2 linked regions of the Styela clava genome follow. The protein of the gene in region 2 interacts with the protein of the main gene of each other region in a pairwise test. Links are inferred from orthologs where the notes say so. Each region holds a gene or a part of one and is shown on either strand. Other genes may lie near its edges.

Region 1 (8,102 bases), on a different chromosome or scaffold from region 2:
TTTAAAACCATTCAAATTTACTCTATTATAATGTTGACTTACTGTGGTAATTGAATTTGATCACGCACGCACCACGGGGCAAACTTACTCACGGAGTGTGTTTCATATTGCCATACTTGATGTAGCGTACAATTGATAAGCATTATCTTTTCTAATTTAGGCAAGCTCTACACGAGATATTGGCCAATATGCAACCTGAAGAAGATATGGACGTCGCACACAAGTCGGGTCCGCCGGTGGATTTTACCTTCAGAGATTTAAGAGCTGTAACAGGTGAGCATTAGCGATATCTCTTATATTGTTTCTTTCATGACATGGAATTAAAAGTTGCGAGTTGTGTCGACTATTAGCTCATTATAATGTTATAAAAAAGTAACCGTTAAGTGAACACGGACGACAAGGTATTTCAATCCGGCTTTTCCAAATTATTAATATATTTATGAATTTAAACCCCAAATCTCAACACGCCTGGGATGACTTTAGGGGAAGAAATAAGGTCAACAAAATTGTAATTCCCCAGTCAAATGCTACGGGTACACTTAGTTAATTAATCCAAGTTAATCAAAATATGATGTATAAAATCTGATTCAGATATATGCAAAGTTGATCCACGCGAAGGACCTAATAAATACGTAAAAATTGAAGTTAAAAGAAAGAATGAAAATGACGAAGTACCTTTGTTTCCCGAGGACAATGACAAAAAGAATGATGAGCCAAGACAATTTTATAAATATTGCAGGTATATATGTATTTTTGTTTGCACTTTTTGTAAGTTTATTCTATATATTATATTCTGCATATGAATAAAATCCAAAAGACGATATCAACGGAGTGTTTATGGTGTTGAGGAAATAAATGTTGAAGGTCTCATTCTCATCTCCACCAATGTTACAACTCTCGTTCATTTATACACTGCCTGGAGAAAATACATCATCTAATTGCTATAGAATATAATTTGATCTGTCTGTTTAGTTTAGTTTACCAAACTGACTTCGTTTTTGTAAGTCATCAAAAAATATATTTCTTGACGTTCAACCCGTTGTTTATCGATAGTATATATCAGTTATCTTCACAATAAAAATATACGATTGTTTTGGTTATTTATTTAGCAAAGCAATAAAGCTTGGGAACAACTCACTAGCTAGACTTGAGAACTTCAGCAGCGGATTACAGGCAGTTCTTGAAGATCCAGAATCGATTGAATGGATCGACTTGTCATTCAATGATTTAACAAAGATTGATAACGTGAGTTAAATAAGTCATGTTAAATTTTGTTATCAGAATCTACAAAGTTTCGAAGACAAGTAAATAAATAAGTAGCTCATTGACACCAAGGTTACTTTTCAAATGTATATATATTTTTATTAAAGTATAATGTGTATCTGATTAGATGTTACAAAATATTTGTCATTTGTGTCATTTCAATATTCATTTCCTTCGTTGCTACAAATCTTTGATTTTGCCTTGTTTCTTTTTTGTATCATGATTTGTATCATTTTCTTTTGAAATTATTTTATATTTTTATTCCTTCCGTTCGAAACTTTGATACAAATTTCTAATTATATATTCAAATATAACCAAATATTTTCTAATATATCTGAATCCACTTTTACAATGAATAACATTTTTCAGGTTATCTTAGAATATCCAAATTTGAAAGTTCTTTACCTTCATGCGAATTACATTGATGATCTGAAACAAGTCGATAAACTAGCTGCACTTCCTCATCTCAAAACTTTAACCCTGCACGGAAATATGATTGAGGGAAAGAAAGGATACAGGTATATTGCTATGGTTATTCGCACTCTCTAGGTAGTGCCTCTAGGTAGTTAATATCTGCCATTCATTTATGTGACCCGTTCGTCAAGTATGACTTATATAACTATCATTACGGCAGAGTGAGATCGCCATGTTGGAGAACAGATGTGTACCGTATCACCTAATTTCGTCCTATCCCTGAAACATATTTCTGAAGTTTAAACAAATTCATTTTAGAAACAACTCATTTGAAGTTTGTTTTATACATTGGATCATTGTTAAAACCACGAATTGGAAATTTGAAATCGCGCATTATTTCTATGCGTTTTTCTTCATAATTTTTTGCTTTCCCTAACAACTTATACCTTATTTATTTTCAGGCAATATGTGATAATGACAATCCCGCAACTTCAGTATTTCGATTTCAGTCGAATAACAAAAGCAGATAGGGACAAAGCACAAGTTTGGAGGAAATTGAAGCTCATTGAATCAACTACTCACAAAAAGAAACCAAAAGCGGCCGAAGCATGAATAAAGAACAAGATATTGTCCAAGGCCAATTCCACTGCTTCTTACTTTGATACTATTTCTTCTTTTATGTATAGCTAGTCCAAAACTTTTACAAAATTTCATTAGAGTGAGTCATAGGTAGAACTCACTGTTGAACTCAGAAATTATACCATCTCCCAAGCTTCAACACGCCTGTTATTAGAAAGTGGTTAACCTAGTTGGCTGTACCCAATAGCCCTGAATTTTTGATCAGTCACAACAAATTATGTGTTTTTTATTCGCGAATTTTTGCGTATTGTTCTATGGCTATGCGATAGAAGGTTTGTGCATTATGTACCATGGAATATTTGCTTGTTAGCCCGCAGTCAGCTCTTCTCTGCATATGGTTCTGCACTTCATCTGGCTTAAGTCAACATTGACCAGTGATTTCCCTACACCCCCCCTATAGGGGGTGAACACCCCCCCTAAAATTTCAAACACCCCCCCTAATTTTGAGGTGCGATTCCACACTGAGGGGTTCTAAACCGCAGTCTGCGGGTCAATTACGGCCCGCGTGACGATTTAAAATGGCCCGCCGAACTTGAGTGAAATAGTTTAACACTTCATGTGGTACCTTTTGAGTTTTAGATACCGTCTATTGTTACATCATTATCACAGTTTAAGCACGTTTATTTCGTAACAATTGAATTATTTATTCTATCAGCTAAATATTATAATAATTGATTTTATTACATAACAAACTGCGATGCTAGGTGTATCTAAAATCAAGCTTAGAGCATATTTTGGTGCCTATTTCTCAAAATTTTCCCCCAGCCGTGTCGTCCCGCATTTTTCCTCGCTCCCCTTTTCTGGCCCTACAATTTCATTCTGCTGTGGATTTTGGCTCGCCGTCAATCAACTTGGGGGGCCCCCCATGTACATCATTTCCTAAATACATACCATTTTTTTAAGAATACAAATAGCCTAGTTTTATCTCTAATAGCAAATTATTTACCACCCCCTAAATTTTGAAACACCCCCCCCCCCCCCCCCCCCTAAAGAGAAAAGCTGGGGAACATACTGACATTGACTATTGGTGGACTCACTTTTCGAGGTCACTTTTGATCAAATATTTATACCAAACTTGTCCATGGGACATATTTTCTGACCAATTCTATACCATGCGACGTTTCCCATGAGACATAAATTTTTTGTCCCATCACATTGCAAGTTATGCCTGTCCCATCCCATGGGAAGGTCTCTCACGGAAATGCCTGGTTGATACAAATTAGAAAATTTGCATTTATGTGTCTAGCGTAAATGATGCACATCCCGATGGTAATGGATTCGTGTGGTTGAATATAATTCTGGGTGATTTTTAGGAATACCTATTTTGGCATTGTGTCAAAATGTATCGAATCTAAACGTAGTCATATGAATGTTGCTTTTCTTTCAGTTTGCGTGCCAACTGGCGATAATATAAATTTCACCTTTGAGCAGTGTTACAAATGTTATCAGATTTATATTGTTTATATAGTGTTTTCTTTGTTTGTCGCCAGTATTATTACATCACGTTACAGAGTACATTGCATTTTCTTTTCTGTTGAGCATTCAGATTTTATCAGTCAACTCTAACTCCGGTGAGCATTCAAGCATCATAGTACATTTCTTCTATTTCATAACTCAAACTTTTACTTACTTCAGAATTCTACACTGCCATTAATAGTGTAGATCTTTTCTTCTCACATTTTTTCCCTGGCGCACAATGATAGAGAAGTAAGCATCACAGCAGGCCTACAATTCCGAAATCATTTTTCATTATTTTGTATATAGGGTATACATTTTTAGGCAAGATGCTGCTAAGTTTGCGAATTAAGTATCCCTAATTCCGGCAAATAAAAAGCTTGTTAATATAAATGTTGGAATATTTTGCGCCAGTTGTAATTTTGATATGAAACACCATTATTAATTCCATCATTTTTTTGCGCATCCAAAAAGATATTTTCGGGTACATATACAGACTAACTATAAATGATATACCTAAATTAAAAGAATATACATATATGCTGATCTTGTACGGTCGCTTGTTGTAGATAAGCACATGTCATGATTGAACAAGCGTGAAATATCTGCTCTATTTCATAATGAAACTGCAATACGAAGGGTAATCGTTGCAAAGGAGTGTGCTTGTACCAGGTGCGAGAATGCATTTGGGTTACTGATTAACATCAACATCATAGTGTTTGTATTGTTTCCGAGCAATGATAAAATACTTTCGCTATGCCAAGAACGGGTCTCACTTGGACTGCAACACCTCGATTAAACAAATTCAGCAAGGAGTATGTATATACGACAGAAACAGTGTTGTAACTATTGTTGTTAACGGGATTATTTCTGTTGTAACAGTTGTTTTTCATTACTTATATTATTAGTTTTTAGTTATACAATAGATTCAAGCCCCAATGGATGCAGAATATTTCTCGATCTCATTATTACTAGTATTATCAATTGAGTTACTCAAAGCTTAGATAAGCGCGTTGTTACAAGAAAGAAAACACATCACCAAGATTTTTCTCACATTATTGTTTCACAAGGTTAAAAAATCCGTAAATAAAAACAATCCACATACAATATGCTGAATCTAAACAGCCGAAATAGATAGCGACAAGGCGTTTTTTTATGTCAGTCGCATCTGGGCGACAAAGAGTTGCTTGAAAAGGCATAAAATGCACAGTTTCTTATTAGGTTCACTAACTAATTGAAAAATCAATTATTCTAATTCAAACTAATGCATTGTGGCAAATATTTGACAAGGTATCAAAAAGGAATATGTCTGAGGAAGATGATGTTTTTGATGATGAAATTGATCCAAGAATAAAGGTTCGTAATATTCAAATTGATAGTTACAAATTGATAGAATACTTAATAAATCTAGCTTTACGTTAACTCGAGCAAAATAGTTATTTGAATTCCAACCTAACTGATCAGAAAAGAATGAAATATTATATTCTATATTCGGTGTGGTCGAGTGATTTAGTATGATAGATGTTTCTGACTGAGCGGAAATTAACGCTTGCTACAGTAGGTTGAAAAGGTCTTGAAAAGCACCTTATTCGAGAAATGATTCATGTTCAATTCTATAAAAGTATATTTTATATATTATTCACGTTTCATCGTTAACAAAATATTTTGTATACAGTAAATTAGGTTGTTTCTTAAAACATTTTTTATCCAACTCATTTTTTGGATTTTGGGGTGATAAATGTATTCGTATCCTCCAATTACATCTGAATAATTTTTGCCTAAAAACTTTCTGATTTTTGTGCGGTTACGCATGTTCTAATAAATATAATTTTGTCGATATATGCTTTTCGACAATAGCACTCACAAATGAATATAATATGCCACATTCCAGTCCTCTTTTCAATAACACATTTTTAGCAAATGCTAATTTTATAGAAAATCGATAATTGCCCTTGAATTCCCCCATAATTCCATAATATTAAATAAATAAAAAGAGAATGAGATAATAAAATTTAATATTTCATTGGTGAAGAGAGAATAAATTTTCACCTGAAAGTTATGCTTGACATCTCGATGTCATCGTTCTGACACCATATCAATCATTCAGAAGCCAAAACAAAAGCACGGATTTTACTTCTCCTGGAACCTGCGCTTAATAATGCTGTTGTAGATTAGCCCGATTTTACCGAAAAGAAATTATCTCGGCAAAATCTCTCCTGGGAATACGATCGAGTCGCAAGATTAATTTTCGGTTCACGCTAAATTCAGTCATTTTTTTTTGTTTTAGACGAAAAAAAAACGCGAATTACGTGAGCCATTCCTATCTACTACTTGATTATAATAACCACAGTGACGCCATCGACAGCGATTTTTTGCGTAAACTCATTTGTGAGAACATTGCTGCCCTCAAACTCAGAACTTTAGTTCAAGTATTGTTAGTACATATATAAATTTAGTACATTCAAAGCGGGTTTATTTTTTCCACCATCATTTTATTTTGCTGACCTACAATAAATTTCCATTGTCGATAATTGGTGGGAAAATCATTCGAATGACACTTTTAACCCGATGTTCGTAGTCGAAGCTGACATACGGTTCAACACAGCAAGATCTAAATAAATAATGAAGTTACAATAATACGCAAAATCATTAAAATAGAATTTAATACCGACTTAGGAAAAATATACTTCTGAATTTGCACACACATTATATACGGTACCAGTATCTGTACTTTTGTGGTCTCCGTGGTTTATGAAATAACAGTCAGGACCAAAGTAGTTCGGCATTTAAATAAACCGTAACGTGATTAGTAATTTTATCCTTCCAGAAAAAAGTTATACACTGTGAAAAAAAATCGTGATTTTATTTTTATTTTGTGATAATTGTGGACGTGTTTTTTACCTAATTGAAATTTGATGGCGTATTGATGCCTGAAGCCAAAGAGTGTGTGAGCAATGGAAATTATCACATTTTTCGCTCAGGATGACGGTCTTTTTTTAACAATTTCCGATATTCTAAACAGCGAGCAGTAGTTATTTCAAACTTTTTTCAACCGTTTGTTCGTGGGCATATTGAATATATTTAATACCTTGCTTCTTTCGTTTTTTCGATAATTAACAATGATAGTATTTGTGTAATTCCACTTTCAGGGAGAGCTTGACACTCTTAATCAGTCTACTGATGAAATAAATAAGTTGGAAACAGAGCTGAATGAATATCGAGAAAAGTTCAAGGCATCTCTCGCTAGTGCGACACAACAGCTGCAAAAATTAACGAAAAAATATGGCAAGTCTATTGAACGAGCAAGACCGTATTATGAAACTAAGGCACAAGTTTCTCAGGTACTCTATGGCCAGTCAATTGTTGAATCCGTGGCTCAAAGGGATATGTCGAATTATACCGATTATGATATTTCCTAACAAAATAGTTCTCTTCTTTCAAATCACCCAGTATATAATCTGTTAAAAGTAGAAATATTATACAAGTTATATCAAAATAAATTCAGTGAATTTCTTGGCCTAATCTTTGACGTACAAGTACAACACGCTATGCCAATTTACAAACAAAGTTACTAAGCTTTTAAAATTCTGAATTTAAACAAAATCATGATATTACTTTTGCAACACGGAAATTGATTGTAGCAAATATGGAAATTCGTTTTTTCTTATATGTCACATAGGCGCAGTTAGCACTTCAAAGAGCTGTTCATAATTTTCAACGAGCAAATGGAGTTTATCGAGCGGCAAAAGAAACAATCGCTTTAGCGGAAAGTCGCTTGAGCGAACTCGACGATAAAAAAGTCGATATGGCTTGGCAAGAAATGTTAAATCTTCAAACTATAAGATTTATGGATGCTGAGAGGGACAGGTAATTATATTATATTTATAATAACTTGGAAGTTATTGTTTATGAATCATTTATTCAAACTATTTTGTGAAATATCGGATAAAATATCTATATCATTGACAATTTATTTCTGTTTCAATTTGTAATAATTTGACTGTTCCCAGTCAATATTCGACACAAAATACAACCAAAAATTCGTGTACAAGTCAGTTACACATTTCATATTTCAGATATTCATAAATTCTCCAACTTTTTCTTAAAATATATCTCAGAACTCGAAGCGAAAGTCTTCATCAACGAGCGACCAAAAGATTTCAATTCCTCGACGGCAAGCTACAAGCACATCATAGAAAACATAAAAATTCAACAAAGAAAACAAAACCTTACTTTGAGTTGAAAGAACTTCTTGAAGTTGATTTGCAAGTAAAATTTTCCACCTATTTATTCATGATTTAGTTGTGCTTGTAGAAATAAATCAATCACGT
Region 2 (7,008 bases):
GCGGACATCGGAATGTAATATGTGTACTAGGTTAGGGTTAGGCCATAATTTTAGGTATAAATACTACGAGAGGCTCTTGGCTAGTCTTCGAACTGATAATAGGACTAAAATAAGGAAAATTGGAAAAAAATTATCGCCTAACCCTAACCTGTTACCCATGTTACGTTCCGATGTCCGCAATCTTGCTTCCCATACTTCAGGAGCACCATTTTACCTATCTTTAACTTAAAGCATGCAAGTCTTTATTTTATGGAATAGTTTTTTTTTATCTTATGGGAGAGGAAAGTTGATGATATGACTAACTGACATTATGATATGCCAAACCATGATCTCTTGTACATTTGTCAGTCTATATTGGGTAAGGGAATCATTAGCCTGTTACTTTTTAAATTGCATGGACTTGATAGTGTAGAAAGCCATCAGCATTTCAATATAAGTCTGCTGCAATGACAAATATCTTCTCATCTTAAGATGGGATATGAAATACTCATTCACTATATCTTATCTAGCTCAGTTGACAAGTCCAAACTTAATCAATTTAAAACGGAAAGTCAAATACCAGAATTATTACACTTGGTTTCGATTCAGAATATTCTGTCTGACACTGACTTAAACTGACAATCAAACAAGGAATCATGCCTGACATATTATGATTAAGCTGTCTTGTTGACTTTTCCGTATCTGGGATAAATATGAGTATTCCTAATCCATCATCCCCAGTTTTAAAAAGGAATCTCTGAAGTCTGAATGATATTTAATTATTTTTGTTTTATTTTTATAAGTGAGCATTTATTCCACTTCAGTTTTCTTAAAATCGCCAATTCTATTTACTTAACAATTTTACTCATCGGTATTTTATTATCCGGAATTAATTTTCTGAAGGACTCTCATTTACGCTTCACTGATTTAAATCTTTTGTTTTTCTGCAAATTTCAGTCGAAGTGATGTCGTAATCGTTGTATTCGCGCTGTTATTGTGATTTCTTCTACATAGTAATTGTCATGTTTCGTTTTTGTGAAGCAGTGAGCCGTACGATGCGTATAAAAGGATAATTTTACACATGAATAAGATGGTTCATTGTGTGGCGAGTGTGTGTATCTGCATGGTTTTGATTTTGAAAAGAACGAGATTGTCATTGTCGGTTAATTTCGGGAGTCTGTCAATATATTACGTGCGTAAACTAAGGTTCATGGAGTTCAAATTTTCGGAACTTCCGTTGTTAGCGTAGGTTAGGGTTAGACCATAATATTTTACAGTTTTCTTTCATGTTTTTATTCCGTGAAACGTTTAGCTTTGCCATACTCCTTTACTTCTCAGTATTGAGATTGAAGCTTATCGGTAACAAGTTATGCTTTTTGTAAAATATAGTATCAAGTTACATCGAAATTTACCACAAAACTGCTTCAGGCACAAACAGACTAAAATTAAAGTTTGATAATGATCATTTTGAAGTGAATTCTTGTTGGTATTATTTTTGCAGAAAAGGCTTCAGGTATTGCTGTTAAATTGTGAAAGGGCAGATTTCAGGTCCAAATCCCATGTCGCCACCTCAAGAGTGTAATAAATTAGGATGAAATTCTGGAGTTGGACTCGAGCTTCACCAAAAAGGTTCGCAACCACTGCTCTAACCACATGGCCATCATTATAGGAAATCGCTGCAAAATGTCTGAATATTAGTTGCTCATATTTACACTGAAATTGCCCTCAATTTTCTGTTTTTCTTGATATGAATTGTATAAGCTATAATGATATGTTAGACTTATAATGATATGTTAAGACTTATATAAAGCTGTAATTATCTCTCAAGATGTGTCTGTAATATCTCTGTTCATCTAGATGGAATTTAAAAGTCTATCATGTCATTTATTATGGAATGTAAAATTTATATTCAAATTGTAAAAAGTAGGGTTATAGAACTAAGTCATGCAGTTGATTTGAGGATTGTTCTATTTTTCATTTTCATAAGAATGGATATGGTCCCAATTTATATCTCAATGTCTCCCGTTCTGTGAATGGTTATTGGGCTGTCGACAAGTTAGGAATAGGAATGGATATATAGTTCCAATCACCATTTGAGTAAAACTCTTTAGAGGGCTTAATAATACCATATAAACAGTAGACTTGATTTTAAGCGCTGCTGCATGGGATGTGCCTATAAAATGTATTTTTTCATTTTCATATTTTTAATGTTTGTGGTTGGATTAACTTGGATGTATGCCAATTTTTTTTTTAACCAATGGTACAATTACATTTTTGGGGGTTTGGTATTCTAGTATCTCTACTTTTTATTATTTTTTTATTATAATTATATACCGGTAGCTGACTGGAATGTATAATTTTCGAAGCTCCAGAAGTATGTGCACAAAGATGGCGCACAACCTAAACATAGTATGTGTACCAGGTTAGGGTTCAGGTTGTGCACATATTTCGGGAGCGCTGTAAAATTCTTTATTTATCTATATATCCTCACATATAAGCAGAGTTTAAACTAAAAAAAAAGTTGCCAAACAAAGGGGTCTTAGAGCGCATAACTTGATAAAAGTTAAACATAAGAATAATGGTTATCATTTTCAGTAATTCTCTTCTACAACCGTTTTTTTGTGGTAGGTGCAGCGTGTTATGATTTGTAGGGTCAGCTTATATGCGAATTTTTATAAATTCACTGTTGAAGGGCTGTTTTGCAGTAAATCTTTTCCTGTATGCTCACAATACTGTATATTGATCAATTTAAATGTAAAAATTTCTGTTAGCTAAAGCCATGGGTGTGAGGTGATCCATAAAATCTCCTAAATCTTTTTGATCGCACGAATGTAAACAAGAAAACATCTTCGTGTAAATATTTACAAATTTGTCTAGACAAGGTTCACTCAATTAAGGTGTCTGAACATTCTACACTAATAAATTTGAGATTTATTTTTTAGGAAAGCAGTTCCAATTCTGCAAGGTGGAACGTAATATTTTTTGCATTCATTTTGAGAAAGATGGAAGCTTATAATATATTTGGGGCGCTCCTGAAGCATTTGTACCAAGAAGTCGCACAACCTGAAAACCCTAACCTGATACACATACTATGCTCAGGTTGTGCGCCATTTTGATACGAATACTTCGGGAGCACCATATTTGGTACTCAATTTGAGCCCAAACTAAATTCAATCGCAATCACAACAAATTCTTTGGGCTATTTTTTTTAGCTAAAACATCAGAATTTGGTTTTTGTTGGATTGTGGCAGCATCAGGCAGGCCAGATTGAATTTGGCCCGTGTGCCGTATTTTACCCATGTCAGAGATAGCATTTTGCAATGTAATGAAATATCATTTAGACCAGGGTTTTCCAAAGTTGTCGGCTCTGCGGGCCACAAAATTATTTCTGCATTGTTCGCGGGCCACAATAGTGCCAAGAATAGGTAAACAATGCAATACAAATCGAATACTTTATTGTGCAAACACATAGTTATCAGACATAGCCATTCCGGGCTAATAGAATCCGCATTCGATTTTTAGTTTTCTATGATGCCTATATTGTAAGCATATATTCCCAACCAAAAAGATAGAAAGCCAGATAATAATTTAGACTGCCAAGCACATCATTCAACTTCGCTAGTTGCCTCAGATAGCCATAACACTAGTCCATTCAGTGACATTATTGATGTAACAATATGTCAAAAGGTTTTTCTGATTAATTTTATGACAAAACAACACGGAGTGCGATTTCTTGATTACTTTCAGAATATGATGCGGGCCACAGATAATGAAGCTGGGCCTGGGTTTGGACCACCCTGATTTAGACAGTATTCATTTGCTGCTTTTCCTTTGTATGAGATTTCCATTTCTGAGTCTGTTTTTGTGCCTTTGATGGTGAAAGAGATTCTAAAACTCATTTTATTGCATTGTCGGTATTAAATTTTTCCCAAAATGCCTGTTTTTCGATCTTTTTCATCTAAGTACTAAAATTCTTATATCTTTCAGTTTTAAATGTTAGTGTATGAAAATACAATTGATTAGCTTGGTTGTAAAGCAATACTTCTTCATCTCGTCATCTTCTGGATTCTTTGACACTAGGTGGCACTTTTTTGTGAAGAGCTAAGCAGGTGAGGACATTTTTAAAGATTCATTTAGTTATAGTTTATGATTATTTGACTATGCTCTAAATTTCGTTTTTCATTATTTTTGAATATTAATGAAGATTATCATGATTATCATGATGTTTAATTTCAGTGTAATTTTCATTTTTTTTTGTAATGCAAGAAGGTTTCAATTGTTTTATTCAATTATTAAAACAATGAAGACTCATTTACTATTAAGGTCCCATTTATAGGGACAAAATGGCTCAAATTTGATTAAATTAAATTGCCAAACAAAAGTGAATGATTCTTAAATTTATATTATTTCGATAATAAATTATTTTCCAATTATTTCACACATTTCTCGAAACTGAATTTCTCGACACCTCTATCAGAATTTCTTTTTTTTGAGTAAATTTTGTTCAGTTTGAAATTGAAAACGTGTCTTTTTTCAGGACCTAACCATCAAAAATGTTCAAATTTTTAATGAAAAAATTTCAAGAGGACGTGTTGTGCACTTTAAGCATCATTATTAATAATAGAAGAACCAGATTTTTATTAACTAGACTTTTAATAAGCAAAAAGTTTCTAAATTTCTTATAACACATTCTTTAATAAATAGCCATTGATACAAGCTTTTTATTTGGATATACCGTTTAGACGGCAGACATAGGTGTGTCCGGATATAGTTTGTCAATATTTGCAACACTCGAGAGTTATCTGGTGTCAAAGAGAGTACTTTGCGGTCTACTTGAGTTAATTATATTTCATGTACTTTAGATTTAGAACAAGTATTTTCAATTGCTATAATATCATAAATCAATTATACAATTATTATTCCATGTTTTTTAAATTATGATATAATTTATGGAATTTATGAAAATTTGTTTACTTTTGAACACTTGAATGATCATGGATTTTACATACCGGTAATCATTATTTTTAATTTACTAATTTTTACTTAATCGATTCAATTTTCATGTTGAAGGCAACATTTTTTAAAAATTTGAGCAGTAGTTCATATACCTTGGGTTCTTCATAATTTCTTTGCTTTCTTAGGAGTTTCTTATGTGTGAGTGCTTGGAAACATACTATAATTTTTTACAATATTTGATATAGCCTATTACATTTATAGGAGTTTTTTTTATATCTTCACTCAAACAAGGATATCTATATAATCGGTGTCTACTCACCTCACCTTACCTCAGAGTAAAGATATGTAATTAATGCATTATTAGACTAACAGATTATCTTATCTAGAAAGACAAATTCCGTGTTCAAGAAGTCTCACTACTAGATACAATATTTCTTTATAACATATTGATTTCTTTAATTTTTAATTTTGCAAGCTCTCACGAGGAATTGTTTAAAACCATAAAATGTCTGTTTCTTTAGCCAAGATGGAGCCGTTTGAAAGAGAAGTAAGTTTTTGTTGTGTCACAATATCATCTCGCATGCTTCGTTGTGATGTCATAGTAATGTCAGCTTCTGCTAAGGGTGACATTAGTCTAACATAAATTCACATTAAAAGACATTGCAAGTTTAAACTTTGGGCTTCCATTAGAATTTTTTATCCATTTTTTTTCTAGTAAATATGCTAAAAGAAAATAATTTACTATTTTGAATACTTTTTGTATTTTTGAATTTCGTCATAAGCACGGCAACAGAATATTGATTCTATTATTGATTTTGTAGTGAAAAAACAAGTTATGATGAAGCGGAGGTTTTATTGATTGGTTTTCCACAATTATAAGAACTTAATTATCTAATTAGCAAACCAGGAATTTCTAATCTCAATTACGGTATGTAGAATCACATTATTAAAATTAAAATATATCTAATCATTTTTAATATCAAGAATTAACTTTTTAGAACATAACTAATTTTGAATATATTCCAGTTTTTGGTTCGCTTAGAGCAGGGGTGTGCAACAGGTGGCCAACGGGCCAACAACTGACCCGCCAACTGAAGCCGAGTCATTTAGTGTGAGCCTTGTCAACACTTAGATTTTTCCTCATCAAGCATAAAATCCTAATCACTCACATGAATAGAAATTGTCTTGTCACTGGGTTAAATATTGCATTGTGATAATTTTTTGTCGGAATTCATATGGAATACTAATTTTTTTGTGTGGCCCAACTTGAGGTTCCAATGTGCCCCGACGACAAAATATGTTGAACGACCCTGGATTAGAGCAAGTAATCATAATCTTCATATGCTGTCATGGTTTGGGTGTGCTCGTTTGTTGCTTTTGGTGTCCATGCCGTTAATAAATATTCCAAATATTTACGGTAAAGAAACTAAGGAGTTTATCAAATCAAATATACTAAATTTAGGGGGCTCCCGAAGTATGCGAACCAAGATGGCGGACATCGGAATGTAATATGTGTACTAGGTTAGGGTTAGGCCATAATTTTAGGTATAAATGCTACGGGAGGCTCTTGGCTAGTCTTCGAACGGATAATAGGACTAAAATAAGGAAAATTGGAGAAAAATTATCGCCTAGCCCTAACCTGTTACCCATGTTACGTTCCGATGTCCGCCATCTTGGTTCGCAGACTTCGGGAGCCCCAAATTTAGACCAGTGGTTCTCAAACATTTTAGGCCGCCCCACATATAAATTTTAGAATTTTTTAAGTCTCGCGCCCCACCTCAAAAATAACTACCGGTAGCTAACAATAAGCTACAATTACAAATAACAGTTAGAAAGTATGTTTTGTTCGAAAAACACGTTGAAGATATGTGGATAGAACATTTAAATATCCAGAATGAGAAAAAGTAAGGTAAATAGACAAAATAAGGCGGGCAAGATCAAATTTAACAAATAATTTTATTTCAATTAGCCACATGCCCCCTCAAAATATTGTCTACGCCCCTCTTTTGGGGTGCGTCCCACTGGCTAATTTCCACTGCTTTAGAGAGCATATACATTTTGGTTCGTTTTGAA

Evidence for each region. The genes of interacting proteins can lie anywhere in the genome.
Region 1: the proteins of spectrin beta chain, non-erythrocytic 1-like (region 2) and uncharacterized protein LOC120331932 interact in a two-hybrid assay, tested with the Homo sapiens proteins (2 studies listed by BioGRID and IntAct). The link is inferred for Styela clava from reciprocal best matches to the Homo sapiens genes SPTBN1 and SH3BP5.

What each region holds. Positions count from the first base shown.
Region 1 is NC_135255.1:7,746,493-7,754,594, forward strand, and holds the start of uncharacterized protein LOC120331932, read left to right. Parts: upstream 1-4,990; 5' UTR 4,991-5,076; coding exon 5,077-5,127; intron 5,128-6,920; coding exon 6,921-7,112; intron 7,113-7,450; coding exon 7,451-7,638; intron 7,639-7,889; coding exon 7,890-8,040; intron 8,041-8,102. Other genes in the region: leucine-rich repeat-containing protein 51-like, read left to right, coding at 161-273, 592-739, 1,110-1,245, 1,633-1,781, 2,139-2,289. UniProt on the Homo sapiens protein: Functions as a guanine nucleotide exchange factor (GEF) with specificity for RAB11A and RAB25. Inhibits the auto- and transphosphorylation activity of BTK. Plays a negative regulatory role in BTK-related cytoplasmic signaling in B-cells.
Region 2 is NC_135262.1:2,863,756-2,870,763, forward strand, and holds the start of spectrin beta chain, non-erythrocytic 1-like, read left to right. Parts: upstream 1-3,971; 5' UTR 3,972-4,088; intron 4,089-5,410; 5' UTR 5,411-5,440; coding exon 5,441-5,482; intron 5,483-7,008. UniProt on the Homo sapiens protein: Fodrin, which seems to be involved in secretion, interacts with calmodulin in a calcium-dependent manner and is thus candidate for the calcium-dependent movement of the cytoskeleton at the membrane.